Linked DNA regions of Schizosaccharomyces pombe. Changing the gene in region 1 together with any one later gene gives a genetic interaction. Each region holds a gene or a part of one and is shown on either strand. Other genes may lie near its edges. The genes, in order: urh2 and mag1.

Evidence for each region.
Region 2: mutations in urh2 (region 1) and mag1 together harm fitness more than expected from each alone (negative genetic interaction), as found in Schizosaccharomyces pombe (one large-scale study listed by BioGRID).

What each region holds. Positions count from the first base shown.
Region 1 is NC_003424.3:2,334,891-2,352,024, forward strand, and holds urh2 (uridine ribohydrolase), read left to right. Parts: upstream 1-9,630; 5' UTR 9,631-9,924; coding exon 9,925-10,917; 3' UTR 10,918-11,154; downstream 11,155-17,134. Other genes in the region: flippase Neo1, read right to left, coding at 1-472; protein mug68, read left to right, coding at 1,144-2,691; nas6 (gankyrin), read left to right, coding at 3,285-3,389, 3,528-4,127; rpp40 (Rnase P subunit), read left to right, coding at 4,994-5,086, 5,131-5,278, 5,329-5,385, 5,502-6,060, 6,101-6,251; negative cofactor 2 complex subunit Bur6, read right to left, coding at 11,542-12,141; CENP-W family protein Wip1, read left to right, coding at 13,118-13,198, 13,319-13,432, 13,535-13,561; ARP2/3 actin-organizing complex subunit Arc5, read right to left, coding at 13,662-13,724, 13,815-13,991, 14,118-14,190, 14,235-14,380; mediator complex subunit Med20, read left to right, coding at 15,437-15,450, 15,493-15,581, 15,651-16,129; ilv3 (dihydroxy-acid dehydratase), read right to left, coding at 16,481-17,134.
Region 2 is NC_003424.3:2,940,028-2,957,161, forward strand, and holds mag1 (DNA-3-methyladenine glycosylase Mag1), read right to left. Parts: upstream 14,838-17,134; 5' UTR 14,798-14,837; coding exon 14,111-14,797; 3' UTR 13,701-14,110; downstream 1-13,700. Other genes in the region: SPOM_SPAPB2C8.01 (glycoprotein), read left to right, coding at 2,362-6,024; toe3 (transcription factor), read left to right, coding at 7,917-9,701; SPOM_SPAPB24D3.02C (amino-acid permease), read right to left, coding at 10,063-11,694; SPOM_SPAPB24D3.03 (agmatinase), read left to right, coding at 12,389-13,615; SPOM_SPAPB24D3.06C (uncharacterized protein), read right to left, coding at 16,037-16,987. UniProt on the Schizosaccharomyces pombe protein: Hydrolysis of the deoxyribose N-glycosidic bond to excise 3-methyladenine or 7-methyladenine from the damaged DNA polymer formed by alkylation lesions. Can release ethylated and propylated bases from DNA in addition to 3-methyladenine.

The DNA.
Region 1 (17,134 bases):
CTGCTTCTTTTGTGAGAGTAATTAATAAAACAAAAATTAACGGAGCAATGTATGTAGAAAGATAACCAATTTTTAATGGTGGTATTAATTGGGAAAGGGATACTAGCAAAAAATACATATTGTAGAAATATCGGAATTGCTCATAGAGGCATTTTGGTAAAAAAGTAAACAGATCATACTTAGTATTAGTAACAGCATTATTGCCGTATTGCGGTTCAGGTTGCCCTACCTGAATTACCCTAAATGAAGAATCCAACGATATACCTGCATTGCTGGCTTCATGACTGGACATAAGAGATTCAGTTTCGTCTCTATCTAATGAATACAATCCATGGCCATTTGAAACTGAAGACTGGCGACTAGACCTAAACGATTTATTGAGCACTTTAAGTGGTATAGAAGGATTGCTCAGATTTTTATCTTTTATCCACAGTTTCATCTTGGACTGAATTCGATTTAGTCTTGAGTCCATAGTGAACTGCGACACTGGCTAATGGAAAGCAGTGCGCTTTGCAAAATTTGGAACCACACTTTAAATATATAAAAATTTAAAAATTTAAAGATACTAATTCAAATACTTTGGTATTAACCAACCTGTAAGTTTCCCAAATGTTCGGTTCGGTTTAAGGCGGTAACGATAAGCTAAGAGGATATCAGTAACAACAACTAATTTGCGCAGTTATAAAGTTAATAGTTTTTGAGTAATTATAAAAAAAATAATAACAAAGCAAGGATTCTAAAGAAAATAACTTTTCATGGTCATCGGTATTTAGCAATCAAACAAAATTTTAAATTTAGAACTATCAATTAGTATCTGATGACAAGAATGGTAAGCTATTTTTAAGCTTTGTAAAAACAATTGTATTTGGACTATAAAACGTATTTTTATTATGCATGAACAACTAATATGTTTCATTTTATAAACGTAAAGCTTTCTATTGAAAGTTGTTGTTTTGACTTGTGCTGTTGTTTATAAATTGTAAATAAAATAGATTTGATACACCAAATAAATACTAACATAAACGTACAAATAAACACTACATAATTTCAATTCTTATTTTCTATCAATCTTAATAAAGAAACATTTAAACATTTGTTTAAAGTTTCTTCAAATAAATAAATATCTGAGACCTGCTAGAACGAATGAATACGAGAAATATGTTCGACATTCTGAGGAAAGGAATTTTTAAAGATGAAATCACTCAAATTGAAAAAATCCTTTTAAAAATGGAAGATAACACTTACGAATATGTGGATGTTTTTTTGGAGAAATACGAGAGTCAACAAAAACTTTTACTAAAACTGACCAAAGCAATTACTGAATACTTATCCAATTTAAAACCACAACTATCTAAGCAGGAAAACATATATGTCAAACACATTAAAAGTTCGAATGAAGCAAAAACAGAGCTCGAAATTTTCAATTGTTACAAGGAGATATCAATATCAAAGGAGAAAAAAATTAATTCATTGCTAAAACTTGTACGAGAATCAGCCCAAGACTATACAATCAATGAAGAAAACGATATTTTATATCATTCTGAGATATCTGCAAAAAAAAACGCAAGTCCCATGGAATTTGGGGATGCATCTTTTGATTTAGAAAAACAAAGACTTCATTTTGCAAATTCAAATTTACATTCTATTGAAAGTGAACGAAATGAGAGTAGTTTATCTTTGGATTCGGGAGAAAGTGAAAAAAAATCAGAAGAGGATAATGGAAACGGCGAACAAAATTATATTCCTGAGCAGTATGAGCGATTGGATAGTCCAGTGAAAGAAAAAATCATTAATACATGCTGTAAGGGAAAAGCTGAACCCCCCAACTATGAGAGAATAAAACCGAAAGCGAAAAAAGGCAACCAGATGCAGAAAATAAAAATCAGTAAACTTGGCACTGCGGAAACGCAAACAGAAGATGTAATGAATAAGTCTTCACAAAAAGAAAACAACGATATCCTTCGCAAACACAAAACATCAGTTAAATTTCCAACTAATCTCGATGCACTCAATTCTTGCACAATGGAAAACCATGAAATCAATGAATTGACCGCTACAAACAAGATGAATGATGGACCTATAACAAAATGTGCAAGAGAAACTATCAATATAAAGAATTTAAAGACATCGAATTTGGAAAGAAATCAAAATTCTCCGAAAAATAAAAGGACTGTAAGTTATGAGCGGCTGGCAAATTCCTTCTCTTTTAATGCTCTCAACGATTATAATTTAAAAAAAGGTGGAGAAAAGCTTAGGAAGAAAGCAATTAAGAGAGCCCTCAAGGACAGGGGTTCCCAAGATAAGGCATATGGAGGTGTTGTACAGAGTAATTCACGTCAACCAAAAGTTGGTTTTCATGTTAACAATTCATCTTCAGGTCACAATGATAATGAGGGAAATCATTCTCTAATTCTCAGCAGTAAAACGAAATCGCCCCAGTTATTTAACAATGAAAAAAAAGACGAAAGTTACTCAGGTTTCTCGAATACTAACAGTTACGCTATAGAAGAGACTAGCCGGGCTTTAATGGGAACCTCAAAAACCAGAAAACCAGAAAATAAATCGAAGTATTTGATAAAGAACGGTTGGTTTGAAGATTCATTAAACTCGGAAATTTGGAGTGATGCAAATCCTTTGGACTGGAGAAAAACTGATATTCTTGAGGAGAGCACGTCCATCGTTTACAAATAGAGATTGTGGGACACAAACACCGATTGATTGATTTCTATTACAGGCCACATTATTCTAATTGTAAATCGTTTAAGGAAAATATTGCATACAACAGATTTTGGTAAAACTCCTGAGGCCAGTAGAATATAGTTCTTCAAAGTTATGAAATAATTAGTACGTTAAGACATTCTAATTTATTTCAATTGGGCGGTTTGGAAGATGGCTTAAATATACAGCTTTTGATGACTGCAAAACACAGGCAAAACCTCACAAACAAAGGATTTAAGGAATGAGCACATATACAAGCAAGAGACCAACAGTACTTACAAATTCTATCAAGCGGACCAAGATAAATAGTATAGCAAGATAATATGTATTAAAATAACAATTATTAAGGAATTGAAATATAAACAATCCGTACAGTAACAATAATTAGTTTTTGTAATGATACATTGATGTTGGCAATCTGCAGACAAAGGATGCTATGTTAAAAATGGATATAATGAAGTATTTCGTAATTCTCTGTGTCATTAAATGGCGACAGTCTTTCCACTGAAGTAACACAGAACAAGCATATAAAACTACAACAAAATCATATCTAGTCGTTACATAAAATGGTTTATGCAAGTTTAGGTAAAGCAATCGAAGAAAACTGTCCAGAAGAATATGTGGAGCAGGCAATTCAAAATGATCCGAATTCTCTTAATGCGGTAGATGATGTATGTGAAACTAATAATTAATATTGTTATTCTATTGTGAATTCGAAAAAGAAAATGAATATGCATTGACAAGAATAACAAGTGTAACTAAGCTACTAAATGACTCATGTTGTTTTTACTAATCACAAATATTGTTAGGACAAACGTACACCTCTCCATTGGGCCTGCTCTGTTGGTAAAGTTAATACCATTTATTTCTTGTTAAAGCAACCCAATATCAAGCCGGACGAAAAAGATGAGGCAGGATGGACGCCTTTAATGATCTCTATAAATAATCGCTCAGTACCTGATAATGTAATAGAAGAACTAATAAACCGTTCCGACGTTGATCCAACCATAACGACTCGCGGTGGTCAAACATGTTTGCATTATGCCGCTGGAAAAGGTCGTCTTTCTATTGTTCAATTATTATGTGATAAGGCCCCAGAACTTATTAGGAAAAAGGATCTTCAAGGCCAAACACCATTGCATAGAGCCGCAGCTGTTGGAAAGATTCAAGTAGTCAAATACTTAATTTCTCAACGCGCACCCTTGAATACTTCGGATTCATATGGCTTCACACCATTGCATTTCGCATTAGCAGAAGGACATCCAGATGTTGGTGTCGAATTGGTGCGTGCTGGAGCTGATACTTTACGTAAGGATTCTGAAAACCATACTGCTTTGGAGGTTTGCCCTGATCGTATTGTTTGCAATGAATTTTTAGAAGCTTGCAAAGAGCAAAACCTTGAAATTTAGTTCCATATATTACGAGAAATTAATGTTCAAATAAGGTGAGGTTTTAAAACTCATAAGCGACTGCTTTAAATTATACAATTCTCTTAATTTCGTATTAATGACCTTAAAAAAAATGCATGGCGTTTGACGAAAATATAGAAAAGGTGGTTTTGTAGCTTCAATTATTGAAATGAAAATTACAACAAAAGAACCATTGTTAACTTATGTTCTCTTCGTTGTCTGAGTGATGTTTTATACTCAATAATTAAAATTATTACTTAAATAATTAACCTGGTATTTTTTTTACATGGATATATTTATTGTTTTCATTCTCTTTTTCGAAATATTATTTTTAAAATAAAAAAAATAAATAAAAAGGAATAGATAGATAAGCATTTTTAAAAGGAAAATGGTTTGTAAAAAAATATGTTTTTTATTAAATAATCTCGCTACAAGCCAATCTGAAGATGTCGGTATTATTTTCATCGATTTGAACTAATTTATGAATTACCGTCTGCATAACTTTTTCAATGATACTGAGTGAAATACAAAGAACGAATGAAAACATTTAATTATTTTCTTCAGTTCATTACTTCAATATACTTATAAGAGTCATAAATTATATACGAATAAATTTATTTACACTTGAAAAAATTGAAAATTGCCTAAATATAATTGACGATCTATATTGAATTTGATATTGTGCTTGTTGATCTGATATTTTCTAATACAGCTAAGATGAAGTAACAATGAGCTGATGGGTGTATCATCAAAGTCTCCCTGCTAATTCATGAACACTTGTCAGAAGCGCTGTGTCTTTTTTTATATGGAAAGAATAGTTTTGCGTTTCTTTCTGAAAAGTTTATGAATAAAAAGATACGATTAAAATGAACTGTGCTTTTACTAAAGAATTAAAGGACGAGATATATCAAAAAAATTATACTGAGCACGAAATTTTACAGAATGCATATAATGGAAAGGTATGTAGATCCGCTTATATCTTAATCCTAATAATAAAACTTAGTTAGATATTTTGTTGCCAGTAGAAGACGCCTCTGAAGAAGCAATTAGATCAATAACGAAAATAGTGCAAGATCTTAGTTTTTATGAATTCTCTGGCTCACCCGCTCTGCTGTTACATCCCGATTTATATTCAACGTTTATTCATACTGGTAAGAAACTTTCTAGGAACACTTTTTTGTAGCTAATTTTTTCAATATAGGAATTGCAACCATTGTTTCTTCATCCGATAATGATAATAAAATATGTATAAGTCAAGGTGAGTTATTTTACGGTACTGTTCGCTTTTCATATCTCTATAGGATATTATTACCCAGCCAAACAATTTCGGGTATCTTTAAGATTTTGAAATTTTTATTGCTTACAGTTAATAAGGTATTCTATCTGTCACTCTTGACAAAGATAGCTATTTGGTTAGTGGTATTGATGCAAAACCTTCTAGTTCTGAACCTAAGGACACTCTATGGGTAGCAAATATTGACTTAAAGTCTGCATTCTTAAGGCCTCAGTGGAAAGGCTTTGAAAGATTAAAAGCTGCTTTGGGTCGTCTTCCTGGAAAGTGGAGTTTTTATCTTACTTTTCCAACTGAGAAGGTTGATCAGTCTTACCAAAACAACTTGTCTCACTCGCTTCCTGTTCCCATGATTTCGCGAGAAATCAACCTAAAAAAAGGAAAACTAGACCAAGCAAAAATCCCACCGCCACTTGTATCAACTCTTAATAGAAATGAACTCTTTCCATCAAACGGTCCATTAGAGGTTTTGGAAATTCTTTCTTTTTTACGTTGTAATGCAAAATGTGTGCAAAATTCATTTGTTCCTGATCCTTACATTTCACGTTACAAACCATCTTGTGCTGTTACTGACGTTCTTTATCTTTCCATCAAAGGGTTGTTTTCTTCTTCTACTTGTTTAGAACTTTACGAGTTAATAAGGTAATAACTACTTATACGTTTTTAGATGCTAACAGTAAAGGAATATTTCTTGGAATTTTATAGGGGTTGAAAGCTTCAACTCTTTCCGTGACGTTGACAACTCAAGTCAATTACACTCTGGTGATAGTTCTTTGCTGAGTTTCTATGATTCCCGTACTGAGCGAATTCGTTGGACATGGAGATTGAGTTGAATTGTTTTGTCATCTAATGTGTTTTCTGCCAATAAAAATATAGACGTTTTGGAAACACGACCAGTTTAAAAAATATGAATTTATGTTATCTTATTCTATATTCCCAAGTAATTATATTTACATACATATTCCAAAAAATAAAGTCTAGTGTACACATCCTGAATATAATTCAGAAAAATAAGGAAAAAAACCGTATTGTAAGTACTAGTAAACGGGTTCCAGCATTCCTTCTATTATTATTTTAGGTAAAACAGTCAGATATCTTACGTTTCCATCAGTCGAATCAACTTCATCGCCTTGCCATCTCAATTTTTTAAGCAAAAAGTTAGATTCAAAAGCTTTAACGTCAGAAGAAGAAGTCCCCAAAGTTATATGAAGTTGAGGGTTGCAAGTTTTACCATACCAGACGCTGTTTTCATTCATAGTGACTCGAAAACAAATAACTCTATCATCCCATACAAGATGAGTTATCCTAAACGAAATATTCCCCATTTTAGTAGTATTTTTATCGTGCATATGCTGTAAGTATTGTTCCCAAATCCGACTATTTACCGGCTTCTGTGACTCGTGGATCATAGTAATATGAAAGGAATCTTGTAAGGTGTATCTGGAAAAAGCCTCCTGCCATTGCAAATTAGCTATCGTTAAGACTTGAACGAGAGAAGACTCCACTGTCTTCCTGTCAAGCAATACGCCAAAGTATCTTGGCGCTTTTTTAAAACAAGTAGATGAGCCGGTAATCCCTTCGGCTGTGATTTTATTCTTTATCTTTTTTGAGTCATTACCAAAAGTTTTTCTATAAGTCGGGACGTACTCATTAACGGCGTAATTAAGTGCAGCTGCATAGTCGTCATCACTGGGATCATTTGGGATCAATTCTGGTATGTTTTTTTTGAAATAATTTACAATTCGACGTGCGTTTTCCAAGGATCCTATCAAAGGATCCAGTTCTATAATATCATCATAATTAGCATCATGTTTATTTCCTGCAGGATCGAATGGCTTATACTGCTTATAAAAAGTATTCATAATTGCTTTCACCTTATCGACACCCTCTGAAACCTTTATTGATTGGTGCCGATCACCACGTTGAAGTACACGATTTTGAACAAATTCCGGAACTTCCGGTGTATGCTTGAAAGGAAGAGCAACGAATCTGACGCCATCAATTAAAGCCAAGATGTCGGTTTGAAGAGTACTTCTCATGTTGGAAATGTGATTGTTACGATCGGCAAAAACAACAGAATGTCCGTTTCTAAATTCCTCAATAATTGCTTTAGCAAATCTTTTTGGTCCACCTTTTCCTGAAGGAAGATTATCGTTTTGCACTACAGGCCAGCCAAAAAGCTTTTCTAAAATTTTAGCAACCGTAGTTTTACCACAACCAATAGTGGCGATAGGTACAAGTAAGGTGAATTCTTTCCCACAATCATTGTCATTCGAAACGGAAAGATGCATCAGATCTAATTTTGAAAGCACCAAAAACTCATCTCGTAAAGAAATTATACCTTTATTGCTCATATATAATCGTTTAGCATCCTCGTCTTCCTTAAACTTTTTGTCACAGAAAGTAATATATTCAGCCGTTACTTTTTTATATTTTGTGTAACTTGGCTTTTTACCAGATATTAACATTTTGGTGACTTCACGCCATTGACGAAACATGCCATACGGTTCTGGAAATTTATATTTGAAAAAGAAATCATTAGAAGATTGTTGCTCAAGAGATGAATGATCAGAATGACAACGAATAACAAACCCTTCGATTGCCCTGTTATTCCATTTGCCATCTTTAGAGGCATTTTCTAAAAAGGCTTTGAGCTCATGAATGCTATCCATAAAAAATGAAGAAACTTTCATAAATCCCCATTGTTCCGCAAATTCAGCAACTTCACAGGATGATGCAGTAATAAACTGCGGGCAATTCCGATTTAATCCATGCAGATATAGTCCACGAGAATTTCCAGTGTATGGAAGAATGTGCTCTTCAAACTCATCATCACAGAGTTCAGCCACAGCAGTCATGTCTCTACGAAGTAGTTCATGGGCCAGCTCTTGTTTAGTGCGACCAACACTTTGCAAATGTTTTTCAAGCCAACGTTCCCCAACGTTTGCATGAGAGACTGATTGTCCTTCCACAATACCTAAAGAATGCTTGCTAGAAACAATGATCTGTCCGTCTGGCAAAGCTGCAATAAATATGATACAACCATTTTCTTTGACTGTCAATTCATAAGGTCCTTTAGTGTGTTGAGAAAGTGCATCCCAAGTAGTAATAGGGACTTCATCAATATTAAAAAATTTATCGTACCCACGTATAACAATGCGATGTCTTTTACTTTCATAGTCATAGCCAGTAAACAAACCACGCGCGTTTGTAGGTAAAGTAATTCTATGTCCAGATATAGTATCAAAACATTTTTTGCTATTGGACACATTTAAACGAAATGCCTGTTCCCAGATCCTCCAAGAAGTTAAATCATAATTAGATTTGGGAGCTTTGAATGTAACTGATCTAACAGTTGATTTTTTTTCTCCGAATATGCAAACTCTTTGATCACGAGTCTACATAATTCTTGAACCAAATCTTCTGAATTATTAAAATTCAAAACCATAATTTTTTAAGAAAAAATAATAAAGCAAAAGCCTTGAATTCAACGAACTTCCTTTGACTGAATGCTCTACAGAAAAATAAGCAACTATGTATTTTTGGAAGAAATCAATAAAGGAAGAAAAACATAAGCTTTTCTCAGCAGTTGGCCGGAAGAAGCAACTACACTGATTTGAAAAGAGTAGAGCGAAAGACAAAAACTAATTTATTTCTGCTCACAGTTAAGCTTGGTATATGGAAGCAACATTAGTTACGGTAGATTCTATTATGTCTCAGTAAAATCTATTTACAAATTCAAAAATACCTGATAAATCTTGATCTACTAATTAAAGCGAGCACGTATTTATTTCTACTTATCAATAATAAACGGGTTGTTTTTTCATTGATATAATGTTTTGTCTTCTACCTTCTGTGCAAGCTTTAATAAGTTAACAAATTAGCTGAAGTTACAAATCTTTACTTCGTTTTAGCAATAGCATTTTCAAAAGTAAAAATTCCAGCTGTTAAGAATTCCGATAACATTTTACATATGGATGTAACCAACATTATTATTCATTAGCAAACAAAAAATTCGGTTAGTTTTTAATCATGCTAGCTGTTGATAAATGGTTTCAGGAATTAAACGGAAAGTCATTGCAAACACTAACCGTAGCAAATAAATTTCAAATCATAAGTCAAAATAACGTTTTTCTACGTTTTGTGAGCCACTCTCTTGCAGTGCGTTACTCAAATGTATCCAGAACAGCGGAAAATTAAACGAAAATTGATGAAGATAGATTTCAAGCGTCGGCATTTTTGATACATTAATTGTCTACTTACAAGGTCGGTTGAATAGACAATTTCCGCATTAGGGGCTACTAGGCTATCCATCTGTGCAATATTTATTACCATTTTTAAACCACAACACCACATATCTCTTTGCAAGGTTATTAGCCATATATTTTATTGTGTCCTCGTCCAGCAAGAATATTATCTTCGGATGTCCAAAGTAATAAAGTCATAAAAAACCTCATAGCTAGTACTAATCGATTTTTTTTTAAGCTTAGTGATTATTGTGGCACCATGACTAACACAATTGATTCATTCCAAAAAGGCTCCGCATTAGAAAACTATAACATATGGATCGATTGCGATCCTGGACATGACGATGTTGTCGCCTTAACATTGGCTGCTTGCGCTGGACATTGTAAAATTTTGGGTGTTAGTACCGTACATGGTAATACAACGCTAGAATTTACTACCAAAAATGCTTTAGCGGTAATGGAGCTTTTAAATCAAGATGTTGATGTTCATGCTGGCGCAGCGAAGCCCTTGATGCGCGAGTCCGCGTTCGCTACTCACATACATGGTACGAATGGGCTTGCAGGGATTTCATTGCTTCCTGATTATCCCAAAAAGAAGGCTACTCCTGATGCGGTGTTCGCTATGTATACCACTATTTCTAATTATCCAGAGCCTGTCACTCTCGTAGCTACCGGTCCTTTGACAAACATTGCATTGTTATTGGCAACGTACCCAAGCGTTACCGACAACATAGAAAGGTTTATATTTATGGGTGGTAGCACAGGCATTGGAAATATTACTTCTCAAGCAGAATTCAACGTGTATGCTGATCCTGAGGCAGCTAGGCTCGTTTTAGAGACTAAATCACTTATCGGCAAACTATTTATGGTGCCGCTAGATGTCACTCATAAAGTACTTTTAGATGCAAACATTATTCAGTTACTGCGTCAACATAGCAACCCATTTAGTTCCACACTGGTAGAATTGATGACTGTCTTTCAACAAACTTATGAAAATGTCTACGGAATTCGAAACGGTGTTCCCGTTCATGACGTTTGTGCTGTTGCTTTGGCGCTGTGGCCATCTCTGTGGACCTCGCGTTCTATGTATGTGACTGTAAGCTTAGATTCTCTCACTCTTGGTCGCACTGTCTGTGATGTATGGTCGCAACAAAATCAGTATCCGGCTAATGTTCATGTTGTTTTGGAAGCTGATGTTTCATTATTTTGGGAGACGTTTATTGGAGTTATAGACAGGCTCAATTATTTGTAGTATATTTATGACATTATCGACTAGTGTTTTATGTTTATTTTTTACAACGATCAAGTTCTCCCTTCATTTTCAATTTTGAAAGCACTTCAAGCATTCATCATGCCCTCTTATATCATCCATTGGAAATACAAAACCAAATACTTTCTTTTTTACTCAAAGAAGTACGTTTATACTTTTGCATTGCATATAGTTTTATAAAATCTTAGACTATAAAAATATCATTATTTGAATTTAAATACTAACAACAAAGTATGTATAAATAAATGCTTAATTATAAACAAAAGGGTGTACGAGTAAGTGATAGGTTCGTAGAATTGTCAATAGCATCATTTTGGCAAATAAAATCAGTAGACGCCAAGTTGGTCTTTCATAGTACATTAATAAGGCACTTTAAAAAAGCTCAATATGAACAACCAGAACGTATTATATTCTTAAGTCGAAGAAAAGGCTTAAAAATACTAGAATTAATGTGCCAATTTTATAGTCCTATGTACAAGTAGCTTGAGAATATTTTCTGAAAACAAATTCAAGAAAAAAGGGAAGATAAGAATAAATGTAATAGCAAAACAAGAATAAAGTATACAAAGACATTATATTTATGGTCATATAGGGTGGAGAAAGTAGCTACTCATCACCAGACGCGGAAGAGGCTTCACTAGTTGTCTTGTCAGAAAAATTACCATGATCAACAGAGGCTTTCTCCTCGTGATCTGCTTCAGTTTCCTCACCAGTAGGTTCTTCTTTGACAGGAGTTTCTGTGGTAGCTGATTCGTCATCTTTTTCAATTTCCTCTTCTTTAACAGTATTCTTTTTAACTTTTTTAGCGGGAACACTTTCATTATGCTCACCTTCATTAGCTGCTCGACGAGCACGGGGGCGTTTTGTCTTTCTTTCGGCTTTAATGGGCGGAGCATCCGGTACTTTTTCAACAATGTCTTGAAGAAAATCAAACTGTTCAACACTTTGAACAGCATGCTTTAAATGAGAAACGGTAACACGCTTTGCTTGGTGCAATCGCGTCTGTTTGCACGATTCTTGAATTATACTCTGCATGAACAATTCCAACGCTTTCGACATAATAACCGGAGTAACTTGAGCGACCTTTCCAACGTCCTGGTCTGCTTGCATAATCTTTTTTATACGAGCAACAGGAAATCTGCTTTTCCAGTACGTAGCAGGATTTGGTTTAGTTTCACTATCATTATTATTTGTTGGATCACCCATTATAAGAAGCAGAATTAACAAGATAATTCGATATTAAAGTCAATAGTAAGTTGGCGTGTAAATGATTGTTTCGGAAATGAATCGCTTGAAGGAGCTGGTAAGTAAGGTAGTAACGAAAACGTATATTACTACCTCTATTGAGACTGTCTGTCAAGTTTTTAAAAAAATTTTTTTTCTAATTTGTCGAATTTGAGAAGTTAAAGTAAAAATCTTCTAGTGCCTAACAGCGGATCTTAGTATTCTTTATAACAAGGTAGTGGTGAAGGACTCGTTTAAAAGCAGAATTTTATGTAGGTCGCGGAAAGCAATAATTCGGAATCACAAGCGACTAACTTCCAGGAAATATAGCAAAGAAACTCGGTAAATATTAATTTGGTTTTCTTTTAGTCGCCATACTTGCCAAGTATTTTGCTCAATATTCCAAATGAAGGCAATTTAGAGGTTCATAATATGCATACAATCACAGTTTAAATAAGAATAAAATAACAGATTCAGATATACGTGTGTAATCAGAGCAAGCAAAACAAACCAGCAACCAAATTTTTAAATACTAGTAAAAAGTTTTTCTTTTCTTAAAGTAGTAGCGAGTAAATACATGCTTACAAATGAACTCAAAGTATTTAAAAGCTTTCATGCTTAAGATTGCTGCTAATTGATATAATATTCCAACTTGTTTTGACAACAAAGACACATAATTTGCAATGTCAGTGCTTTAATCTTTGTACGTAATAATTACTTTTACTAAGAAAATTTCAATTAATAATATGACATTAAATTTATAAAAAATTGATTTGCAATAGCACCTTTGTAGAATCCTTCGAACTAATGACTCAAAAGGACTCGCACTTTACCTTCTTCGAAGACGACACAACGATTATCACTTTCTATACAGAGCTATCCTTGCAAGATATGATTACTCTCTAATTTTACAAAACTAAACGGGATTAATATTTTTTTTTGCAAGAAACTACTTACTATGAGCTATCCTAAAGCACGCATAAGACGATTTTTTCGTCAGCATTGCCAGCGCAGCCTTGAAAGTTCCGCATTGGATTTGGTATGGAAAGTTATAAATGAAACTAGCTATTTCTCAGTCAGTATCTTTTTGGACGCGCTATTCTAATAAAGATATTCAAATTTTTTATATTGAATGTTTTCAACTAACAGAATTTTCAAGGTATATTTGGATTACTGTCTTTTCTTACAATCCTTACTAAAAGAAGCCAATATTGAAGCGGCTAAGACTGGGGAAAGAAGAGTACAGCCAGAACATGTTCGAAGTATTCAAAGAGTAAGCTAATATTGAATAAACTAGATTTATTATCTTTTCAGCAAAGGCGTAAATCGATTGCACTTTATTTTTTAAAATGGAACATACTTACTAACCATTTAGAAAATTCTAGCTCAATTTAAAGGATAAAAAGAGTCATTATGTGGGAAAGAAGACATAAAACAGAATCATTGATTCAGTTCCATAAGCGACAGAATAGTAGATACCAAAAAGTAAGATAAAGCCATATTTATAGATCGGGTCTACTATTGAGAACACGAACTATACATCCTATACCGGATATTTCCACCACCTACAAAACCGTATTAGTGACCGAATAAAAATGTAAAGCATGAGATAAGCAATGCTAGAGCGTTGGGAAAAGCAATAAACTAAAAGTTACCTTTTCGTGCCAATTAAGTAATACAGACGAGTTGTAGGCTTGAGGATTCGCCAATCCACGATAAATGAAGTTTACAATATTATCAATTTCCTCCGTTGAACATTCTTTTACAAATGCGGGAATGTCAGCAGCTCGTATATTGCTTAATACATCAACAAAAGCATTCAAATATTGAGTCTAAAAAAGTTAAAATTCATTTACACCATAATAAAATGAAATCAAGAAGAATTGTAAATTTAATCAATAAATAAAAACGTAATTGATATAAACCGTCTTTAAGCAGTTTGTACAGTTTGCACATACCCTAACTTCTTGAACATCATTTCCATAAGGAACATATGAGAGTAAGGTTTTCAAACCTTGTAAGGCATTTCCTCTATTTTAATTAATAAAAAAATTGCTTCTTTTAAATAAACATACGTTTGAATGGCAGACCGGGCTTGAGGAATGAGTTGAGAGACGGCTGCTTGGACTTGCTCCGCCGTTTCGTTACGAATTGGAAATATATCTTGCTCTGTTAAAACAGGTTCTGTGATGGAGTCGACATCCAAAGTCCGAAACGTCATTTTATAACTCTATAACTGGTAAGGTAAAGAAAACGATGGAACAGGTTAAGTTTCAGCTGTGTGTAGCTCTAAAGAGGCATCATACAACGGTCGAACGCAAGTCTGTAACTGAAGTTATTATAATTCATAGAGTATATTAATTTAACCAATAAGTTAAGAAAATTCAAAAAAATATATTTATATTTTTTTAATCTTATAACTTTAACTTATAATTTTTGAGCGGAGCTATATAAGTCTGGTAACAGCATTACTAACTTCTTCAGTACTCCATAGACCTCTTTTGTGGATGTTTATTTTTTTTTATTTGTAAATAATCATCTCTACCTTTGGTCTTAGATGTAAAGTTCTGAATAACTTGTAGACAGAAATTGGTTACATATTTTACATTTCTGCCTATGGTGATTCAGAAGAAAATATGTTAGATACAGCCTAGTAATTAGTTGAATAAAGATTAAAAGTAATTTTTTTTTTGCTTCTATCTATTTTCAGTATGTATATTGATGTATGAGTTTATACTTCTATTCGAACAATAACTTTTAAGACTTATTTTGCTGACAGAACTATGTAGTTTCTTGTGTAAAGTTCAAAGTAAAACGAAGAGACACATATGTAACATCCTGGGATTAACAGATTTTTAATTAGTGCTCAAACCAGCCAGTTACATTGTTACGTAGTATTTGACTCTCCAGAAGTTAATTATGAATGTAATTCAGTTAACTTAATTCTCTTCAAGCTTTTAACAATTTGCTCTGGGATTATCATACCCAAAAGCCATATACTTTGCGACTTGGAAAATAATAAAAATGACAAGAGATAAATTAATAAAATTTGAGCTCATATTATGTCTATCTGCTTTTTTTTTTTAATACAGGAACAATGAAAATGAAGGTTTTAAATTAGCCTGTTAGCAATTCTTGCAACCGCCGTACGCATTAAACTCTTCACATCAACATTACAGTAGAAGTAAAAGAACTAATTCGGCCATTTTTCTCAATAATTCGGTATAAACCGATATTCAGATGCATAATTAATTACCATTCATCTTTGTTATAAAATATGCCTGTTCACGGGTAAAAAGCATACCGATTGACTATTTTGCTGATTGATTATAGAGTTATTTATTATTCATCGCCTTCAATGGCGACGTTCCTTTCTCCAGCACAGGATAATCTGGTTAGGACCTACTTTGCACAACATTTAAGTAAGCTGACACTGGTTTGGATTTTATTTCTTATGATTGATGATTTCAAGATCTAACTTTGAATTTCAGAAAAATGGGTAGTTCAGTATAAACTTTACAGAAATGCTGTCACTCCAAAAACTTTAGAATTTTTGAAGCAAAACATTAATCCCAGCATGCTGGCGTGTGTGGATGAAGCGACAATGATTGATGCAGAACCTGAACTTGAGGACATCATTGTGCGAACGAAATTATGGAATTTTCGGCAGTCCTTTACTATTGAAGGTTCAATATATGAAGTAGGGAGCTTTAAAGTGGCTATTGCCAACGTTTTACAAAAGTCCGTTTGGAAGGGTATACTTTTTCATGTAACTTACGATGGTACTGAGTCCGTCGATCTCGCACGCCCTATTATTCAAGAATTCTTTCTTAAATGCTTTTTACAAAATAATAAATCGGTAACCCCTGTCTATGAAAGCTTCTTTAACCAGCCTCGTCATTCTTTGGATTCAAAACTTCTACTACAGTTGTTTAAACAACGCATTGATACCGTTTCACAACGCACATAGAATAAAAAAGTATCAATTTAAATTTTTTCTGTAAATAAATTTCTATCTAACTAACTGTCAAAGTCTTGCTTTATTGTCAGCAGAAAGTTATGGCTCCCTTTCACATTTACAGATACCAATTATGTTTAATAATAAAATAGAAATGCAGGAGTTTGAATAACAACCCATTTTAAACTCGATGCATTTCACTGTACTCCAAAAAGTAATTATTCATTCAAAATTATTCAAATAAACTCTAGATGAGATTATGGAATCAGCATTAAAAGCTTATTAATCAACCTTTACTACCAAAACATTAAACGTCTAAGTTTCCAAAATACTATGCGCGCTTATAAAAGCATTGAATATGCTTTACTCTAAGGAATCTGTAACAGCACCCTTGGAGGCAGTGCTAACGTTGCGAGCATATTTTAAAAGGGTTCCTTGTTGGTACTTCAAAGGAGGTGCCTTCCAAACACTGCGGCGTCTCGCCATCTCCTTCTCATCAACCATCAAATCTAAAGTGTTCTTTACAGCATTGATTTCAATGACATCGCCGTCCTGAACAAGAGCAATAGGGCCTCCAACTTGTGCTTCGGGATCAACGTGTCCAATCAAAAATCCGTGAGAGCCACCACTGAAACGACCGTCAGTCAAAAGTGCAACATCCTTTCCAAGACCAGCTCCCATAATAGCACTTGAAGGCTTTAACATTTCCGGCATACCAGGTCCACCTTTTGGTCCCTCAAAACGAATAATGACGACAGTCTTCTCGCCCTTCTTGAACTCACCACGCTCTAAGGCAGCAATAAAATCGTTTTCGGCATCAAAAACACGAGCTTTGCCGGTGAAGTTCAAGCCCTCTTTGCCAGTAATCTTTGCGACAGAACCTTCAGGGGCTAAAGAACCACGGAGGACACGTAAATGACCCTCGGTCTTGATGGGGTTGCTCAAAGGTCTAATGATCTTTTGACCTTCGGCAAGGTCCTTGAATCCTCGTAGGTTCTCAGCGAGAGTTTTACCAGT
Region 2 (17,134 bases), 610 kb from region 1:
TAAGGCATTACTAGATATTCAAAAACTCCACGAGGTTCAGCAGTAGCTCTATTTATAGTATTCAGATAATATTGATCTTAATAGATTATCATTAAGATCAATCTCCATATCGTATCATACATGGTACGATATATAATTAGAACATGTGACATATAGTGATACTCAACGTAGTGTATTATAGCGTAGTGTAGTATTGCTGACATTCTCCTTTTCTTACTCGTATCAAGTGATAGGCACTTTTGAGGTCAAGTTTAGTAAAAATTGTAGAACCTTGTATTTTAGCAAGTAATTGTTCAATAAGTGGTAACGGATATATATTGGGTTTGACATACTTATTTAAAGGTTTGTAGTCAACCACCATTCTCAAGGTGCCTTCCTTTTTCGGAACGAACATTACTGGACAGGCGTTAATGGCTTTAGATTCTCGTATAATTCCACTTTTTAATCCTTGATTAATTTCATCATTCATAGCTTGCATTTTTCCCGGTGGTAGCGGGTAATTTCTGATAGGTAATCTGTAGTTTTCTTGAGTTAGTTCAACTTCAAATTCTAACCCTTTTATTGGCTTTGGTAGCTTTTCCGTATTGGTTTCTGCAGTAATGTCTTTGAATTCTTTATAGATATCTGGTAACTCAGGTTCCTTGACAATGTTTGAAACTTTGTTCATTTGAGAGAGCGTGTGTTTACTGCTAGATATTTCAATGTTATTGTCATATAATGTTGTGAAGGAGATAGCAGCTGGATGCGAAAATTTCTTTACAACCAAGAATTCTGTTTTGATTGATATTCCATTTAGACTTATGTTAAGTTTTATTGTTTTGCGATTAATCTTATTTGGATAAACTCCACCATATATCACACTTTTTGACCAGGGTCTGGTAGGCAGTTTATGTGCTCGAACAGTTTCTTCTGTTATAATATTTGCTTGAGCGCCCGTATCGATTAGACAGGGTATTGAGCACTTGAAGTCTGGAAGTTCAGCTTGTAATACCATTTCGTAACGTTTCCTAGTATGATTTAGGAATTTGTTAGATGAGTATTCTATTCTCGAAACATTTGTCTTCCTCAGGTTTCTGCTATTAGTGGTGTTATTTTTCTTTGAAAGGGACTCTTTTCCTAGATTTTTATTTTGCGGTTGAAAACGCTTGTGAGTTTTACCATACGAGGCTGTTCTTTTGTCCTCTAAAAAGTCATAAATTTCACTGATTTCTGATTTCCAGTAATTTCTTTCCTTTAATTTCCTTAAGGAATATGGCAGCATCCATAATATAAACAAGCGAGTATGGAAATCATCAACATTTGCTTTTGACATGAGTTTCCTTATAAATTGAACTTTGTCCAATTGATTTCTAAAACCTTCAAATGTTTTAGTTAAACGATCACCTTTGTTGGATCCTTGTACTTTCCCTGTTTGTCTGAGTAATTCTTGCCATGTAAGACTTCCATTCTCAGAAAACATGCGTTCAGCGAATTGTTGCTCTAATTCTTCTAGGTGATTCAATGTATACTGTCTTTTAGTATGCTCATTTGGGAATAATGAAGGGTATTCAGTAAAGTGTTGATCAAGTTTTGAAATGTAACTTTCAACATCCTTATTAGGATCGAATTTCCCTATCTCTGGTACATGCTTCGATAATATTTTTGCAAAAAGGTTTATTAAATGTTCGTCTGATGTTTGAATTCCATCCAAATTCTCTGGTCTCCATCGTTTTGCTCTTGCTTTCATATAACGATAATTTGCGTAGGACATTGTATATGTTTCCCTTTGGGAGATTTCAAAAGGGATAACAGTCCTTCCAAAGTTCTTTCTCCTTTGAACCCAGAAGGAGAGAAATATATATATTTATGATATATATTTATTCAATAATTCCTTTTTCCTAAAAGGAGTTAATTGTAGATCACAAGAGTTCAGTTATTGTAAGCTACGCAGTTTGGTATCTGATTTAAGGATACGTAGAACTGCGGTGAGTTTTCCTTGTGATCTATTATATTACAATACACAGGTTGTATAAGTAGCAACTGAGTATAGGTATTGTATTAACTGGGTTATAATGTTACCTATCACTAATATAGCTCATAACTGAACTGAGGAACGAGGTTCAGCAGTAGCTCTATTTATAGTATTCAGATAATATTGATCTTAATAGATTATCATTAAGATCAATCTCCATATCGTATCATACATGGTACGATATATAATTAGAACATGTGACATATAGTGATACTCAACGTAGTGTATTATAGCGTAGTGTAGTATTGCTGACATCGTTTAATTGTTTTTGTTTTTTTCCTATAATATATATCCCCAATCTTTCATACACTTTATTACTTCGGCGTTTGTTTGCTTAACTTCTTAGTAAAATGGCAGTTTCCCGATTGCTAATTTTAATTTGCCTATACAGCTTCGTCACATTCGCATATCCTAAAGTCACTCAAGACTATCGAAATCACCTCCCCATAAAATTCGCTAAGCGATCAGAAGTTACACCAAATACTTCTTTAGCTCAATGTCCCAAATATGTAACTGTTTACTCAAGTGGGTCGTCGCATTATATTTCAACGATTTATCCCGTGAATAAGACCCATCATACTGAATACACGACGCTTACAGATGGCTCAATTGATACTTACACCATTACAGCGAAAACCGACACCGGAACAGATGTAGTTGTAGTGGAGACTTCAGCTAATACAATAACGACTACTCTTTATTCTGGTAGTCTCGAGTTTACTACTACTCTTGACTCGGCAAATGGGACTACCCCTGCAACCATTGAAGTAGTTGAACCTGCGGCAGGGACCGTTACCACTACAATTTACTCTGGAACTACACCATTTAACACAACGCTTGCTTCCGCAACTGATACTGTTCCTGGCACTGTTGAGGTAGTTGAGCCTGAAGCTGGAACTGTCACTACTACTGTATATTCTGGCACTCAAGAGTACACCACAACGCTTGCTACAGCCAGTGGTACTGTTTCAGGCACTGTTGAAGTAGTGGATACAGCAGCTGGAACTGTTACTACTACAATTTACTCTGGAACTACACCATTTAACACAACGCTTGCTTCCGCAACTGATACTGTTCCTGGCACTGTTGAGGTAGTTGAGCCTGAAGCTGGAACTGTCACTACTACTGTCTATTCTGGTACTCAAGAGTACACTACCACACTTGCTACAGCCAGTGGTACTGTTTCAGGCACTGTTGAAGTAGTGGATACAGCAGCTGGAACTGTTACTACTACAATTTACTCTGGAACTACACCATTTAACACAACGCTTGCTTCCGCAACTGATACTGTTCCTGGCACTGTTGAGGTAGTTGAGCCTGAAGCTGGAACTGTCACTACTACTGTATATTCTGGCACTCAAGAGTACACTACCACACTTGCTACAGCCAGTGGTACTGTTTCAGGCACTGTTGAAGTAGTGGATACAGCAGCTGGAACTGTTACTACTACAATTTACTCTGGAACTACACCATTTAACACAACGCTTGCTTCCGCAACTGATACTGTTCCTGGCACTGTTGAGGTAGTTGAGCCTGAAGCTGGAACTGTCACTACTACTGTCTATTCTGGTACTCAAGAGTACACTACCACACTTGCTACAGCCAGTGGTACTGTTTCAGGCACTGTTGAAGTAGTGGATACAGCAGCTGGAACTGTTACTACTACAATTTACTCTGGAACTACACCATTCAACACAACACTTGCTTCCGCAACTGATACTGTTCCTGGCACTGTTGAGGTAGTTGAGCCTGAAGCTGGAACTGTCACTACTACTGTATATTCTGGCACTCAAGAGTACACCACAACGCTTGCTACAGCTAGTGGTACTGTTTCAGGCACTGTTGAAGTAGTGGATACAGCAGCTGGAACTGTTACTACTACAATTTACTCTGGAACTACACCATTCAACACAACACTTGCTTCCGCAACTGATACTGTTCCTGGCACTGTTGAGGTAGTTGAGCCTGAAGCTGGAACTGTCACTACTACTGTCTATTCTGGTACTCAAGAGTACACCACAACGCTTGCTACAGCTAGTGGTACTGTTTCAGGCACTGTTGAAGTAGTGGATACAGCAGCTGGAACTGTTACTACTACAATTTACTCTGGAACTACACCATTTAACACAACGCTTGCTTCCGCAACTGATACTGTTCCTGGCACTGTTGAGGTAGTTGAGCCTGAAGCTGGAACTGTCACTACTACTGTATATTCTGGCACTCAAGAGTACACTACCACACTTGCTACAGCCAGTGGTACTGTTTCAGGTACCGTTGAAGTAATTGAACCTGCTGCAGGAACCGTCACTACTACTGTATATTCTGGCACTCAAGAGTACACCACAACGCTTGCTACAGCCAGTGGTACTGTTTCAGGTACCGTTGAAGTAATTGAACCTGCTGCAGGAACCGTTACTAGTACTGTCTATTCTGGTACTCAAGAGTACACCACAACGCTTGCTACAGCCAGTGGTACTGTTTCAGGCACCGTTGAAGTAATTGAACCCGCTGCAGGAACCGTTACTACTACTGTTTACTCTGGTACTCAAGAGTACACTACCACACTTGCTACAGCCAGTGGTACTGTTTCAGGCACCGTTGAAGTAATTGAACCCGCTGCAGGAACCGTTACTACTACTGTCTATTCTGGTAGCGAGGTATATACTACAACTCTCGCTTCTGCTTCCGAATCTGTCCCCGGAACTGTTGAAGTAGTAGACCCAGAAGCTGGAAGTGTCACCACTACTATCTATTCTGGTAGCGTAGAGTACACTACTGTTCTTGCTGATGCAAGTGGATCTGTTACTGGGACTGTTGAAGTTGTTGAACCGGCTGCAGGAACTGTCACCACTACTGTTTACTCTGGTAGCGAGGTATATACTACAACTCTTGCTTCTGCTTCCGAATCTGTCCCCGGAACTGTTGAAGTAGTAGACCCAGAAGCTGGAAGTGTCACCACTACTATCTATTCTGGTAGCGTAGAGTACACTACTGTTCTTGCTGATGCAAGTGGATCTGTTACTGGAACTGTTGAAGTAGTTGAACCTGCTGCTGGAACTGTTACCGGTACCCTCACTTCCGGTTCTCAGTTTTTTACTACTACTATCGCTCAAGCTAGTGGTTCCGTATCCGGCAACGTGGAGGTAATTGAGCCTTCTGGTTCAACTGTTACTTCAACTATCTATAGTGGTAGTGAATCTTTCACTACGACTCTTGCTGTTGGAAGTGGAACTATTCCAGGTACTGTGGAGGTAATTCTCCCCGCTCCTACGACTATTTATACGGGTACTGTTGCTACCACTATTACTTATAGTAGCTCTAGTACTCCAGTTTCTACCGTCGTTGTTATTCCCACTGCTGTTTGTAGTGGTGTGCGCGGCCTGCAGTACGCCGTTTATAACTATGATATTTCAGCATCGAAGAGTAAATTTTGTGTTAGTTCGGGTAATACAGACGTCGCTGCTTTCACACAGCCTGCCTATTTTGGATCTAGCTCTTTGGACCAATCGTCTCCTTTGTTCACAGGTGTATTGAGTTCTACTGCCGCTTTGCCCGAATGGACTTCTTCTTACTATCTTCCTGATTATCCCCCGGATGCGACTGCCATGGAGAGCACAAGGTGCAATTGCAAAGCTATTGTTTATCAATTCTTCTTTAGAGTTCCTTACACAGATACATATGAACTCAATGTTTATAACGTTGATGATGTATTTTACGGTTGGTTTGGCGATAAGGCTATTTCAGGATGGTCCAACACGAATTATGATGCCTACGCTTATTGGCATGTCACCACCGGTCAAACTGGAATGGGCTCATTTAGTATGGGAACCTTAACCCAAGGATCCTTCCTGCCCATAAGACTTATCGTTGCTAATGGAGGTGGAAAGGGAGGCTTTAACTTTGACTTCTCTTCTTCCACTGACACTTATGCTGCAACATCCTATGCTTACACAGCTACTTGCACTCAAAGCTTCTTACCATTTGGTCTTGGTAATGGTGGTATTGATAACTAGTCCTTTTGGTATCATGACATTGTGCAAAGTGTCAAGTTGCCAATATAAAAACTCGACATCTGGTAAATTTTTGGTTTTGTTTTAATGATCATATTCTATTATATTTATAATTTTTTTTTTGTAAAACTAGAGAGTACGGTGGATAATTCATTCATAAAGTATTTATAGACAAGATAATCTTATTACAGATGAAACCCAAATCTTTTTACATTTGACGTCTGTTTGTTCAAGTTTTTCTGTAGTTTATGAATAAATGAATTATTCATACTTATTATTGTTACACCATTAAACCATATATGCTTCCCTGCTGTAATACCAACTATACAAAATGGGAAACCAAGTATAGCAAGGAAGGTAAGTGATAGTGATATTAAATAATAGATATTGAAAAGAAATAATCTTATGAAATTTTTTAACTAGATTAGTCTTCATCATTGCAGCTCCAGGCCTAATCCACAATGATACTGATTACAATGCATAGAAGCACAGTTTATAATTTCTTCAAAATTTAATGTAACTGTATTATGAAATCAAATTTGACGAATTACAATTGGCTAGTAAAATGAGATGTCTAAAGTCAATGTCCAAGAAAACAGCGAGTCTAAATGTTGTAACTCGAAAAACTCAAGACAGTACTAATCTTAGGTACATTATTTAACGATTTTTAAAACAGTTTCTGAGAATTGTTTTAGTGACATTTTTGAATGAATGAATACAATGCAATTGTAGAAAAGGCTCTAGCTTCAATAAAAATATCTGTGCTTTGTCCAAGGGGTTTGACTTGTTCCTCTATAGATATGGTATGAAAGAATAGCACAACTTTATCAATGCTTAATGAACTTAAATTTATCAGTACAAATACACGTCGTGCCTTTCTTCTATGTCGAAGAAAAACAAGGAATCAAGAAATGAACGAATTTCGTTAACTTTGCCCTACTGTTTTGTTTTACCGTGCTAATTATTACTTCAATATTGATCTTTATAAGAGTAAATTCCTTGCTAATATTTGACACAATATTTAAACTATTCAAATCTGTACAGTTTCTAAAAGTTTTACTATTTAAAATATTCATTAACTTGCGTTTTCTATCGTCAACTGTAATGAAACGCAATTAGGGCTATCAGATCTAAAAACTGATTTTTTTGTGAAAATTTTCATCTGTATTAGCATTGAAAATAAGGGAAAAGATTTTTTTTTAAATAAAAAGGAACTCAAGGCACTAAAGAGAGTTGCTTTCTGGTTTATGGAGTTTTCTATGATAAGTCCGAAAGTAAAGTCCGCGGATATTTAGATAGATCAGGTAAATGAGGAAAACCGATATTATATGGTAAGAAAAAGCAAATTGCTACAAAATTACTACTGGTTTCATCTTAATGTGTATCTTGGAATTATAGAATTTAATTACAATTGTTCTTCTAGTTGTTATTTATTGTCTGTCGCACTAATAAATCTTATATGGTTCTTATAGGTGGTGGTAAACAGAGAACAGCCGAGTTTAATTTAAAGGAAACACATACTCAAACACAAGCTACTACTATATACCTTCTGCAACGACTCGATTATTTTTCCTGTTTTTACAATAGTCGCCTGTAATTGGTATCCGGAGATTTATATAGTACAAAAAGGGCGCTGATACTTCCAAGATCACCTTCCTTAAGTATATTCACCAGATTTCGAAATAAACGGCAAATACCGTACTAAGTCACATTCGATCGCTCACATTATCGTTAAAAATTGTAAAGCGCAGTTGTCCGTGGAAGGGCTGCTCATTTTGCCTGAATTATCTGCTTGTTTGAGCCAATACTTCACAGCCAAATTACTTTGCATTTCCGTTTAGATCAATCGAGAGAAAAATTAAATTTTAAATGTAAATTACTTTTCGTTAGGGCAAATGACTTCTGTGGAAAAGGCTAGTAAGGCATGTGAACTTTGTCGACGCAAAAAGATTCGCTGCAATCGCGAACTACCTAGCTGTCAAAATTGCATAGTGTACCAAGAAGAATGTCATTACTCAAAACGTCTGAAACGTAGTTATTCTGCCACGAAAAAAAAGAATGGGAACCCAGTTTTGGAGTCAGCAATTCCCAGTTTGAGTCCAAGTCCGTCGATCGAAAATGGATCAGCAATGCTAAATTCCGATATTACTTCTCTTAGCAATCGTATATTCAAGGTTGAGGAAAAGTTGGACCTGATTTTAAGTTTGCTAAAAAATTCATCGGAACCTTTAGATAGGACTGAACGAAAGGATTTCCCTTCTTTAGCGATGCAGATTCGAGATGCAAATTCCCTTGTGAATACGAAGTTAAAAGAGTACAGCCGTCGATTTGAGTTGCCATCTCAAAAGACCTCTTTTGACGACTTATTCTCTAGCACATTTCCAAATTTCGATGCTGCTTTCAAAGATATTCCGGATAAAGAATGGGCTTTTGAAAACGTACAGTGGTACTTCCGATATATCAATTGTTGGTGGCCAGTATTTTATGAGAAAGACTTCATGGATGAATATGAGTGTTTGTACCGAGACAGGAATCAAGTTAAAGGGGCATGGCTTGTTTCCTTTTATTCGGTTTTGGCCCTAGCAGCTTCACGAAGTAAAGCTGGTAAGGATCAAAAACTTGCTGAATCATTTTTCTCCACCTCCTGGTATTTGATCCAGAAGCCGGGTTTTTTTCTTACACCTCAGCTTGAAAAAATCCAGGCTTTACTTATCATGATTCAATTTGCTGCCCACGTTTCTTTGCACACATTGTGCAAAGCTCTTTGTGGGCAAGCTTGTCTCATGATCAGAGACTTGAATTTGCATAGGGAGAGCGCCAACGCTGATTTTAGCAACAAAGATGCAGAATTACGAAGACGCGTCTTCTGGATTTGTTATATATTTGAGATTACAACTTCATTGGTGTTTGGAACTCCATCTGTTTTAAGTGATATGGACATTGATTGCGAGCATCCAAATTATGAATACGGCCGTTACTTTTCAGAAATGCCAACTGGCGATCTAATTTTCAGCTCAGAAGTTTCTTTGACTATCCTCAAGAACGAGGTCAGAACAAAAGTATACAGCCGCACAAATACTTCAAATGCAAGGAACAGAGAAAAGGCAATTTGGCAAATTCATGAGAAGCTACTTTGTTGGGAACGTGCACTACCTATTGAATTGAGGCAGTATTTTATTGCGTTGACTGAGAACGCACAAATTTACGAAGAGCTCGATTTTGAAAAGCAAAGGCTCTTCTCGGCTTGTATTGAAGTTTATTTATCTTACTGTAATACCTTAATTTTTTTGCATCGTCTAAATGAGAGCGTAGAAGGAGCAAATATTTGTCTCGACACAGCTCGCCGTGCTATCAATGTGCTTAAATTCTTTTTTATCATTCCTATTGCGAAGAATGTTTGCTATTTATGGGTATTCTTGTACTGTCCATTTACTCCCTTTCTTGTCCTTTTTTCTAATATTGTTAATGGCAAAGAACCGAGCACCGACATTGCTTTTGAAGATCTTAATCGGATGTATTCTGTTAACAGATTCTTTGTTAAATTAAGAGACATTGGTGGAGACCTTGCTGAAAAACTTGCATCTGTTACTGAAAATTTTATACATGCTGCCGAAAATTATTTCGCTGTACAGCCAGCATTTATGGCTGATGCTTTTGATTTTGCGAGCTTTTTGACGTGAGTTAGTCAAAAGCGCTTAAACATTTTTTTGGAATATGGGGTAAATATCTTCTTCATCTTTAAGTCCTAATTGTATATTATAGTTTAACTCGGTGTTGATTGCTATATAGTAGAAATTTTTAAAAAATATTATAACTGGGTTGAATTTTAAAAGGTGAAGCAATGTTCTTTTAAAAACTTAGCTGTTTTATAGCGGACTGCTTTTGAATTCAGCTACGCTTGTTTATAATATTACCATATGACAGAGATATATATATATATATAGTTTAATCGAGGAAAATTGGTACCTAAGTCTTTCACATATTTATTCATCGATTAATCAATATCATAATAATTATTACACAAAACTAATATACAATATGCTAATTATAAGACTTGCCATCATCTTCTTTGGACACATGATCTGCCTGAAAATCCACAGTAACACCTTCAGTAACATTCTCATCAACTGTTTTAACAGGACCTTTGAAAAAAGTTTTACCTCCGTATTTTGGTAGATAATAATATCCTACGCAGAAAAAGACTGTGAACCCCAGCACTACAATGGCCCAATTCATTTCCACTTTATTCGGATTTTGGTAACTAGGGAAAAGAAGCATAAGCGCCATGAACCATAACCAAGCCACGGCTACAATTGAAATAGGCTTGCTAAATTTCCCGCAATAAAACTTTCCAGGGTTCAGCCGATTAAACAACAAACGGCATACTAAAGGTAAAGAATATGAAATAAAAAATGCGATGATAGCTAAATTAAAGATAGAGCTGATGGCTGTCACGTTAACCAACATGAGCAAGCCAACAATAATGGTATAGAGATTGACAAGAAGAATCGCATTGAGTGGAATGCCGCCAGGAGTTAGCTTACGGAATATCCAACTACCAGGAAGACCCTTGTCTCTAGCGAAAGCAAAAATTTCTCTAGAAGAAGCCAGGCATAACGCAGAGCAATTAAAACAAAGAGCTATTATCAAAACAGCTGACACGCCAACTGCACCCCTTTTGCCAAGATTATTATAAAGCACCTGAGAAACTGGTTCTCCGTAGGGAGTGTTTAGAATAGAACTAAAGTCGTGACCCATTGTGCCTGCTATAGTGATCATAATGCAAAATCCCATAAAAAGAGATACCGTAAGACTTGAAATAATTGCAATGGGTGCTGCTTTGCTAGCATTTTTGGCCTCTTCAACAATAGTAGCACACGATTCAAAGCCTGACAAAACCCAAACGGGGGTTGTGAAGCAAAGGATGAAGGACCAACCCATGTTAGTCCATCCAGAATAATTTTCGAAATTTCCAAAAATATAGCTCCCAGTGTTTCTAGTCTCGGAAGTTGATGATGCTGCTAAACTGATAATAAATATAAGAATCGTGCATATTTGAAACACCACATTAAAACTGCTGAAACGAGCAAGGAACTTTGTTGGAAGAACAATCAAAGCTGAACAGGCAAAACTTAAAGCGACATAGATACCGTACTCTTCATATTTAGTCGGAGCATACGAGGGATTGGCAACAGACGCTGTTGCTTGAACAAGACCCGCAGCAGCATAGATAGTAGAGGCAAATCCTGTAGAATATGCGAGTGCAAGTACATATCCCAGGAACCAACTTAAGAAGGCACGGTACTTTGGAGGAGAGAGATAAGCCGTCCAAAAATATAAACTGCCAGAAGTGGGCATTGATGATGCCAACTCGCTCAAAGCAAAAGCAATTGGAAGTAAACAAGTAGCACCCACAAACCAAGACCAAACCATACCTCCGGCGCCACAATTCATACTAAAGGCCATGGAGCCCACGAGAGAAGGACACAGGCCCATGGATCCAAAGGACTGACCAAACACGGCGAGTAGGGAAAATTCTCGTTTAAACTCTTGCTTATAACCAAGGTTCAATAGCATCTTATCGTCTTCTGTAACGGGGGCAGACTCACCAACCTCTATGTCCCCAACAGAGATATCGTGAAATTCTTTCTTCATCCCAATTGTTTCATCCATCTTTCCTAGACACAACTAACGATATATAAAACCAAACAATACAAAGTGCAGAACACGAAAGATTCCCCAGTTGAATACACACGAGGCAATAACTCCAATTGAATACCAATATTAAAAACAAAAATTGGTCACAGCAAAAGGTAGTGAGAAGGCAGTAAGCAGATAAATGGGATAGCGATATTGAGTCAAAATAGCAAAAAGCCAAATGATTAAACTCTTGATTAAGTATACGATTTCCTAAAAAATTTCCTGAGACAATTGAACGTAGAAGCCCGTTTTTATATTGCTAATTAAGATGATGATCATCTTTCTAATGTACTGCTTAATCTATTGATTAAGTAAGTTCTATTTAAATTCTGGATAGGATAAGAGATTTCAATAAGCTATTACCCTTTTCATTTATCTTGTCGAGGTTCATCTCTATGAAATAAGAAACAATAAGGCTTTAGATTTCCGCCAAACCTATCGATAGCTTATTTTCCTAACCACCCCCCTATGCTTGCAGTAAAATTTATCGGCCATTTTTCTCCATGGACTCCGTTATACAGTACTTCTGCAATACAGGCGCCGATATTCGCCATAAAATGAGTTATACGATTAGTAGATTTTTGATATGATGGGCTTGTATTAGCCCTAAATTTGAAAGTATATAAAGGCCAGTTTCACTGTCTTAGAACCGTAGCTACAAGAAATTATGAAAAGTGTTGAATGGTTTACATGGGGAGTTTTTCTGCTACTTTCTGGCTTTGGAGAAGCTGGGAGGATGGGCTTGGGCTTTCAGGAGAAGAATCCAGTTTTCGTAAAGGAAAAACAATCACCATTCTATGCTGTACCTAGTAACTATGAGGAAGTAGAATTCTCAAGTATAGTCGAACCTATGTATTCAGGGATTGCGACGTTTGGTCGTTTGGAGAATGTTGAATGTTTGAGTAAAAGGTCAGAGGACTTTGATATTGCCTTTATAGGAATGCCTTTCGATACAGGCACTTCTTACCGCCCTGGTGCTCGATTTGGTCCAAGCAGTTTGCGTGAAGGATCTCGACGCATAAATACTAAATACGGTGCAGTGAATGTACCTCTTGAAATCAATCCTTTCAAATCATGGGCAAAGCTTGTGGATTGTGGAGATATTCCAGTCACCACGTATGATATTCTTAAAGCTATGGATCAGTTAGAAAGTGCATATTTCCAGCTAATAGCTCGAAAGCCCTCCAGTTTTACTGACCATGATGGATTTGCAAAAAATGATACTGTGCTTCCTCGAGTCCTTTCACTCGGTGGTGACCATACCATTGTCCTTCCCATCTTACGAGCTTTGCATCGTGTTTACGGACAACCTATTTCAGTTATTCATTTCGATAGCCACTTAGACACGTGGGCTCCTGGATTGATTGGCGATGGCGATGAAGCAGATGGAATAAACCATGGTTCTTATTTCTACTTTGCTAGTCAAGAAGGTATTATGAGCAAAGATGCCAACATTCATGCTGGCATTCGTACTCCTATCTCTAGTTTCTCTGACTACGATGATGATGTTGATTGTGGTTTCAAAATCATTGAGGCTCGTGAAATTGATGATTTGGGGATTGATGGTATCGTCAAAAAGATTCGTGACAGAGTTGGTGATAATTTGGTATATTTATCCATTGATATTGATGTGCTTGATCCTGCATTTGCACCCGCTACGGGTACTCCTGAAACTGGCGGTTGGTCATCTAGAGAAATGAGAGCAATTTTACGTGGTTTGCAAGGTCTGAAATTCGTAGGCGCTGACCTTGTCGAAGTAGCTCCCGCTTACGATGTTGCAGAAATAACATCCTTGGCTGGTGCGCAATTGTTATTTGACATTGTATCTATGATGGTGAAATATCCTTTGGTAAAAGAGGCTGATTTATCTCGTTACATGCCAATACATAAATAATTGAAATAACTGGTTTATTTAATATTCAATATTTATATCGACATCATAGATACAGATACAGAAATGAGCATGTTCAAAAAAAATCATTATTCATTATATTATTAACATATCATACGCAAGTATATCGTTAGAGACAGCTGAGCGTCATCTATCTTGTATCACATAAAGTAAAAGACAAATGTAGCAGAAACGGGTTTTCTTAACCACCCAAGAGTGTTTTGTAAATATTTGCAAATGAACCCATTAAAACATCTCATCTCCCTTTTGTTATTTTTGCCATCATTCACCAAAAAATCACTTCTTTTATATAAGCGTAATGTGACGAAAATGCTTCGTCTGAGTGGACGTAGACATTCTATTCAGAAATGATTGAAAAGATACTATAAATTGGTAAACCAAAAATAAAAAGAAGCGTACATAAAATGTAAAAGACCAACCAGGAATAAACTTATCGAATTCAACTTTTTACTTTTAAATATATAATACATCTGTCCTTCAGTGTTTCTTCGGCCTAACAGGCTTTGTATAATCGGCAAGTTTTGACGTTTTCCAGAGATACCATGCTGCTGCAGTACGAAAAGGTGCACATATTTCACTATGCTTAAGAACATACATCTTGGTTGGAATTTTTGGTAATCGGTGTAGATATCGGTATCCATTACGAATACTCAAATCGTCAGCTGGCATAACATCATCACGATTCAACGAAAAGATGAGTAACATTTCTACTGTCCATCTTCCGATTCCTTTAATCTGAGTAAGTCGTTCTATCAATTCTTCATTTGAGAGCCTTTCAGCTTCTTCTTTAGTAGGAATCAAACCGCTGATTGTTGCCTCAGCAATGCTTTTTAATGAATCAATTTTACGAGCTGAAAATCCACAGGCACGCATTATTTCAAAATCCATATCACGAATTTCCTCTGGTGTTGGAAATTGGCCATTGTTAGAAATACTTTTAAAGCGATTGAAAATTGCGTTAGCAGCTTTACTATGCAATTGTTGAGATGCTACCGCACGAATTAATTCTTCATAAGGCTCTTTTTTCTCCATACTTCGATTGGGTCGATAATTACCAACGAGCTTCACGAGCCGTTTCCAATTCTCATCCAATCCAGAAAGATGGATTTCTGCTTTTGTGAGTGAAGTGACTATCTCTTCTTTCTCTTCAATGTCCAAAGTCATAATAGCAAAGATTCAATTGATCAAAAATTTATCACTCATTATGTGCTTTTGACTAAACGGTAAGGGTTTTCATTCCTTAGGAATTGCACTGCAATTCGTTATTTATGTAAGCAAGTCCTAAGCTAAAAAAAAGGAATCTTGAAGCAAATTCAACATTCTTAGATGTAATTTGAAACTTCAATTAAATTTTCATCTGGATCGCGAAAATAAATAGAGAGGATAACTCCTTCAGCTCCAGCCCTTGTAATAGGACCTTCTTCTATGAGAACATTTTGCTTTTTTAAGTGAGCAATGACTTGCTCTAAGGGTGTTTTAGCTATTAGGCAAATATCATTTGACCCAGGAGTCAGTATGTGTGATTTTGGGTCAATCTCATTACCCTTTTGATGCAAGTTGATTTTTTATGACCGAAACCGAGTGCCTTGCGATTGTTTCCAAATGCGATAACCGACATTCCTAATGTGCGCTCATAGAACTCACAGGTGGCTTCTACGTCTTGGACAGTGAAAACAATATGGTGGAAACGATCAATTTATATAATATCTTTTTCCATTAGTTAGTATCAAAGATCTTTTATAGATGTAAAATGTTGTAAAGGAGAGTCAGAGGAAACTAACCACTTCCGTTAAACAAGTAACAACTCTTCGACCTTAGAGTATATGACAGATTAAAGAAATATTGGGCGTTCAATAAGGCATAAAATGGATAAAACGATGGAATAGCTATAAAGAAAGCATAGTGTTTTAAGAATTATTCATCCACCTTACTAAGCTTACTTTCTCTAATTAGCATTGACGTTGAACATAAAGAAGCTTTGCAGTTGTCTTCATAATACAATTGAAGTAACTATACGCCTTAATTTACAATGACAGAAGTATGGAGATGAATATTGTTATATAATCTTAACACGTATAAAATGGATAAATGCGCTATGAAGGGAATGGGATAAACATTAAGTCTTAATTTGTAAAACAGTAGATTAGTAACTGGAATTGTTCTCAATATACCTTTTATAGCATTTCAAAAGTAACTTCAAAGATAAAAAATATCACAAAAGTTATCAAACTCCAACTTTGAGGAAGCTTTTGATAGCTTAAGGGTATGCTTTTGAATTTAAAACATTACTTTTGTTAAATCTCCATTGCGAGATTTTGTCGAATATTTCATCCGGATCACAATTATCTAAACTGTTCTACGTGACTTTTAGCGCTAAAGTCATATTCTATGTATTACGAATCTTTATTGATCAATGAAGCTTCTTAAAGCCGTTATAAGTTGATTTATCAACCATTTCAAAGCTTCTGGTGAAGATTTTGGCCCGACATTATGTGTAGCTCCCGGTATGATGCCGCTTAAGGAACTATTAGAAGTTGTAGGACGAATTGATTCGCGAAATCGGTTCAGTAATTGTGCTTTATCAGTTGATGGCGAGACGAACTCGTCCCTTTCCGACATAAGCAGTATCAACTGACTATGTGCTGTGGAGCCGGAGATTTCTTTGAGATTACCAAAAGTTTTAGCGAAATCATCGGCGCTCAGGTCAGAGGAGAAAAAGTCATCATTTCCGCGGACATCTGTCAAGTCAATGCATCGATTTGCAGATGTCGGAACTTCACCAAAAAAATTCTCTACCTTGCTTCTAGGTAAAACATCATTTCCTAGTCCTTTGTCAAGATATTCTGCTTTAACCCAGTCAACCAATTCCTTTGTTTTTTCTTTCCCGTTAAATTGATACGCGGCTTCTCTATCCGATACTGGAGCTTGTGCTATTCCGGCGATTAAGTAGTTTGGAAGAATGGACTGTGTAAGATAGTATAGTACATTCTGCGATCCCGTGGAATGTCCCATCAAAACGATTTTGCGAGTAGAAAAGTCCGCGCCTCCAATGTGCAAAAAATAGTCCACTGCCTTGTGTAAATCCTCGTCATCTCGTTTCAAACTTCCCGTTCCCCATCCTATATACGAGGACTGAGTTTGAACCTGTACAATACTCCAACCAATTTCATCTAATGGATTGACCAGTTCTTGAACATATGGTACTGTCAAAAGACCATCGCCAAGTCCCCCGACAAATAACAATAATGATCGAGTTACGTTGGATGTAAGTGTAACGTTACTTTTTCCAACTAGCTCGAAAGCAACAAGCCTTTCTGTGTACTCATGGAGAATACCAGGATGCGAGGCTGACATCGTGCAATAAATAAAAGAATCAAATTTTTAGATGTTGAAAGTTGAATAATTTTCGCCTAACCTTACAAAGTAGATATTCATACGATGCTCAAATACGAGATATGAGCAAGGATTATATCTTATCCATTATCAGCAAAACAACAACTA